Drosophila melanogaster: one gene and its partner. The protein of the gene in region 2 interacts with the protein of the main gene of each other region in a pairwise test. Each region holds a gene or a part of one and is shown on either strand. Other genes may lie near its edges.

What was found. The genes of interacting proteins can lie anywhere in the genome.
Region 1: the proteins of ATPsynGL (region 2) and CG16978 interact in a two-hybrid assay, tested with the Drosophila melanogaster proteins (one large-scale study listed by BioGRID).

Annotation. Positions count from the first base shown.
Region 1 is NT_033779.5:13,142,714-13,145,787, forward strand, and holds CG16978 (uncharacterized protein), read right to left. Parts: upstream 910-3,074; 5' UTR 885-909; coding exon 594-884; 3' UTR 501-593; downstream 1-500. Other genes in the region: CG9928 (uncharacterized protein), read right to left, coding at 1-152.
Region 2 is NT_033779.5:7,745,700-7,748,489, reverse strand, and holds ATPsynGL (ATP synthase, subunit G-like), read right to left. Parts: upstream 1,216-2,790; 5' UTR 1,110-1,215; coding exon 1,070-1,109; intron 1,017-1,069; coding exon 733-1,016; 3' UTR 616-732; downstream 1-615.

The DNA.
Region 1 (3,074 bases), 5.4 Mb from region 2:
CTGTGAACACTATCGCTCCAGTCCAAGTTGCCACCTGAAGATCGTGTTCTTCCTCCTTCGCCACCGAGGTTTATATTCTGAAATATACCCGATGCACCGATCGCGGTATAGATTAATCCAAACAGCACCAGCAGTCGGAGAATGGATTGCATTTTTCTTTCGATTAGCTCTGGCTACAGTTGACTGAATGTCAGTCGGCTCTTGAGCTGGGCTTTTATAGCCTTGCCCTGGGTTATCAGCAGTTCTAAGTGGTTGGTTTAAAGGTGATATGTATACTTTTAGACAGAGGTGAGTGCGGGAAATTCCAGCTTAACAGCAACACAGCTTACCACAAGCTTAATTGATATACTAAACGAGCTATTAAATTCAATCTATGACTAGTATTTAATGCGTACTTAAAATCGAAATTGCGGAGTAGGCAACATTCATTATCAAAAAATGAAGATCTCTTGATTCTCTCTTGATTGATTTCATTTTAAAATTTCTAAAAACTTTCTTTTATTTCCCTTAATAATTATTATTGAAGAACTAGATTATTTACAGACAATAGGATAGCATGACTTAGCATTACAGCACTACTAAATAATTCCATATTAAGTAGCCGGTTCGGTGGTAATATCCATAAAATCCAAAGTCGTCTCATCGTCATCAAGACTTGGATAGTCAGTTGAGTTCTCATGAGCTGCATCGTTCTCCTGCCAGCGTCTGATCAGCTCGTCCATTGCATTCATGAACTCTTCGGCACTGTTGTATCCACTGCCAGATTCCTCCAAAGCATCATTGGTACCTTCCGGATCTTCAATAAGGTCGTGCGGATGGCCGGCAATTAGAGCAGCACAAATGATTCCGAATAGGAGAAGCAATGATATGATGCGGCTCATCATGCTGATCAATGCACCGCCGGCAACTGCATAGCCAGATGCAATTTCTTTCGTTTTTATATGGATCGTGTCGGTCAGTAATAAGTTCAATGGAATTCTGGAAAATCCAGTCTGGGCTAAGCCCAAGTGGCAAGCTGCTTCGATTTCCTCATTCATATTTATGCGTTGGGCGGTACTAGAGTCCCCTCTGAATCATCGCAGACCCAGCAAGAGCAAGCATTGCGCATACGACACGTTGCCACTTGCGGATCAACAGTCATGCAAATAAGTCTATGATTAATTCCAAATAATTGCTATGTCTGTTGAGAAAATTCTCGGCCATGCCAATCATCTGTCAGTTACTAGAGTTGTGTTAGTTAGCTGGGTAGTCAGAAAATGTACTCTAAATAAGGGATTATAAACTTAGCAAAGCGACTGTATTTCATCTTTCCTTGTAGGCCGATGTGAGTGCTGCCGGCAACCCTTAAATGACTTGGCTGCCAGCATCGAGCACTTTACTCCGCTTCGTTGCCTCAATCCTTCGTTGGCTCCTCCGGCACTTTATTCAATTTTCCAAAGCGCGCGCACTCAGCTGCCAGTACAACCTCACTTTGCCACCCCAAAAGACGGGAGCCCATCCACGAAAACCTGTGGTAAAAACATGCAATCTACTCACGAGGCTAATGCCCTTTTATGGCATTGGAGTGTGCCGCATCAGCAAAACGGTGCTGAATCGTTGCTGCTGTAGCTGCAGCATTCAACCATCTAACCACCATGCGAACAACACCATTAGATGGGCCACCAGACTCGATTCACGGGGGCTGCAGCTCATTATCCTCCGGGGAAGCAGACGCCCGCCCATTCACCGAATTGCTGGTGGACTTGTCTGCAAATATGTCGCTCATTTGCATCGCCATCATTGGAGTCTAAGACTGCGCCATTGAAATCAAAGTAAGCTGTTACACGGATCGTTTTTAGTCATTTCTAAAACGTTTCAGAAAATTCTTTATATAATATAAAAACTCTGCTGGCAACTGAAATAATAACCACAAATATGTTTTTAATTATTTTAATATCCTCAACTTCAATTCTATAATTAATGTATATTTTAAAAAATTTCAAACTTTTTCTGATGCTTTTGTATATTATGTCGACTTGCTAGCAAATGTCAGTCATTTAAAAATCGCCGCATACCAGCGGCGCAACAAATCAAAGTTGGTTTTGAGTTTTGTTTAGTGGTTTTTAAGCCGACATGAATACCCACTTCTAGGTGTATAGAACCTTAGCAAGTGCCATTAAAAAGATACAACTGAAATAGCCCAGGCACTCCGGCATAAAAGTACGACAGTCAGTCAAATTAACATTTCAGTCACACAATGACCTTCACCTAGAAGCCATCAAAGCGTACCCAAACGACGGCCCAGCCCTAGCCCCAAATCCCCTGGCTTCACCGGAGTCCAAAGCCAAAACCAACTTCAACGCAACGCGACCAAATAACATAAAAACCAAAGTCAATCAAAAAAAAGAGGAGGAAAATAAATATTTTTCAGCCAATGTCTAAATACCCTTTTCGAAGCTTCAATGATCAATATCATTGATAATACTGAAGTTGTAAAAATAACTCGATTTTAATTATGACCAAAAATGACATCTAATCGTTTAAATTTTCTTCATATATACCTTAAGCTTGTGGGTATATTTTTCAGTGTTACAAACCTCTTTCAAAAATCGAAGAACCCCCTGGAAAGGTAACCACAAATATATGAAAAACGAGACAAAGTCAAAGCTGGCTTTTGCTCAGTCGGTCGCGTAATTTTGTTTTCGTAGCCACTTGATTAGCACGCTCTGAGCCATGTTTAAACGTGGGCTGTTTAGCCAAACGGCAGCCGATACGCCCGACCTGGTCAAAAGCGTACCGTCCAATAGCAGCGATGGCAACAAAAAGAGCTCCAATATCGGCGAACAGAATTCAGCTAAAGACCGCACTAAAGACTTTGACGCAAAAAACGTGCGAGTACGTGCCGCTGATTAGTAAAACAAACAAATTAAATTGGTCTCTACTTTATGCCCGATTTTCTTCTATTTTTCGTCTTACGACTTTTGGCTAAGAGCTATACCAAAGAGCTGTTTTGGCTCAAAGAGATTTATAAACTTTTCAAAGAGAAGCCAAGAGAAGTCAATTAAAACAGATGTTATAGTTTTAAACAATATATT
Region 2 (2,790 bases):
GTACTTTTGGAAGGTTGTCTTTTGTTCATACTATTGTATTATTTAAAGTTATTTGTAATACAGTTACATACATTCAACTTGGGGCACACGTTGGTTGCCATTGTTTGGCTTGTGCAACTGCCACGGCGTCAATCTGATTTATGCCACTTGACCGGACTGCCGCCCGTGTCCGCTGTCGTGCCGCCTTAGGAACCCAACGCTTTGCCGCTCGGACGCCTGCGCACTCGCCTCGCAGCGGAATATGAGAACTCCATGTCCAAGATCAATGCCAGCTTAGCGAGACTCAGATCTGCCATGAGCACGTTGCTCATGCCGGGCCATTGGGTATCCGGAATTTGAGGCGGGGCACTGTTAAATGACGGAGTGGGAGTTCACATGTTGCGCACCTGGTCACTGGGAATTTATGTATGCAAATATATTAGGAAGCACTAAACAACTTTACTTGCCAAATGCAAAAGTTATGAAATATTCGATATCTTACCACTTAGACCATTAAACTTTCTAAAATGAATATCATACAGAATATAAATTGAGCTATATATGACGTTTACGACGGACGAGAACATAAAGCGAATTTCTAGGGAAAAAACAATATAAACAGCTACGCCCATGATTGTAATGCTTGATAATGCACCTTTATTCAGTGCACCTGGCCACAGAAAAAGGGCTTAAATGCACTGGGCCATTTGCATACAACACAAAAACATAAGGAGAATATTAAATCTGCTATGTCTAAACCTTGTAGCCGACCAGGTGACGACGACCGATAACCTCGCCCATGTAGAACCAGGTAATCACCTCCACGGTGACCAGAACATTTAGCCAGGCCTCAGCGACTGTCACTTGGGAAAGTCCGGACTTCTTTAGCTGCCCCTTCATATCCTTTTTGGAGGCCAACTTGGCGGACTCAGCGGTCTGCTTCAGCTTTTGGAAATCAGCGGGCAGCGGCGGTGATAGCTCCACCTTGGCATACTTCCAGAATTCATCGAGCTGCGGACGTGCTGCCACAATCATTTCTGCGTAATACCATAAAATTACATTTTGGCCAGACTAGAAGTGCGCATCTTACTGTTTACTAGGGTCTTTGCCTTGGCAATCAATTGACTCATTTTGTTGGTAGAAAAATAAAACAAGAAATGCAAGTTTCTAAAAATTCGACAATTTTACGTTCTCGTACAAAGTTATTAAACGGAGTGCTGTCAAAAATGATTTGACTTTTCAGCAAAGGGTTCCTAGCTATTAGATTTTAGACATGTTAAAAGGCTACCACACACTGCACGATTTATGTCCTTGCCAAAAAATTCACAAAATTTGATACAATTTTATTTTATTTTTTTTTTAAGAGCTGGTTCATTTTGTATTCAGATGCAGTGCCTGGTAAATGTGTTTGGAAAATTTGCATAATTGCGGCGTGGTTGAAAACAACCTGCGCCAATTATTCGATTTGCGGGCGATAAACTGACCGATCATTACCAAACCGACAAGATGGTTATTACTAGAGCGCCCCGCCCACTTGCCAAAGCGAAACAATGGCTAAAAAGTAGAATAGAAAGACGGAGCACGCCCTAAAAAAATTGGCCAGCATTGTGTTTGCCGGTCATCGAAATGAAAATCTCAAAATGTGCAATAAAACGCTGGGTCTTTCGTCATCAGTTCAATGGAATTGGTTGGCCATAATGCATGTTTTAGGCCAGCCGCTTTGCTAATGAAGCTCTAATGGAGTCGAGGTGAAGGGCCCGTTCTTCAAATGAAAATTGCTCTTGTTTTTTTATTCGCATAGCTGATCTAATTGCGCCAGTTAGACGAGTATGACATTCCACCCAAGACCCGTTGCGGGCCCTATGCATAATCATATTGGGTGTGATTAATGGATCGATCGCATATATTTTTCGCTGCAGCTGTCGTCTAAGTGGTTTCAGTCTCACATTTGGCCAGTTTGACACTCTGACCCAAGTCTTTGGAAAAAAAAAAAACGTGGCCAGCTTTTTGATCTGCATGTCCATGACGATTTCAAGTTGAGACTTGAAATTCGCCGGGGGTTTAAGCCAAATGCCCCAAACATGGAAATGTAGTCCACCAATTCGTTTGGCTTTTTTTGCATTTTTTATTGTTTGCCAATGCTGACAGCCTTTGATTATATTTATTCTTGGGCGTTGCCCCGCCACAATACGAGAATTGCCTTCCTATTTTTGGCGGAGCAGCGGGCAGCGAAAACAAGGCAAAACTGCAGAGGCTAATTGTTTATTTAAGGCACTGCGAAAAATTCCAGTGCTCTGGAATTTGCGACTGAAAGTCACGGCAATGCTGACGTCACGGAGTCTTAAAATTCTTTTAGAAAATGGATGGATTTTAAAGACTTTTAAATTTAAACTAAATCTCATTTGAATATTTGAAATCATTTGCTCGAAATTTCTTGGCCAAAACCAATACTGTCTAAAATTGGTAAACATAAGTTTAGTATTTAGTATCTATAAATTTTTTATGATCAGCGAACTATTTTCTGGCCATAAATCGATTTTGAAATAGGTTACCAATATTTAATTGCTCTTTTTAAGGGTTTAAGCACTGATTGTTCGGGTAAATAAGCTAACAATCCATTCTAGAATGATTTTAACGGCTGACTAACTTTTTGGCATTTAAAGCTCAATTAATATTATTGCATTGATTTAGTCATTGCAGGGGCTAACTTCTGAGTCCGCCTTGGGGCAAAGTAATTGTTATTGCAGTGTAGGCACGCGACTTTATTTTACTTTAGTTTACTGTACACAAATTCCGTGCCCCATGCTGCAA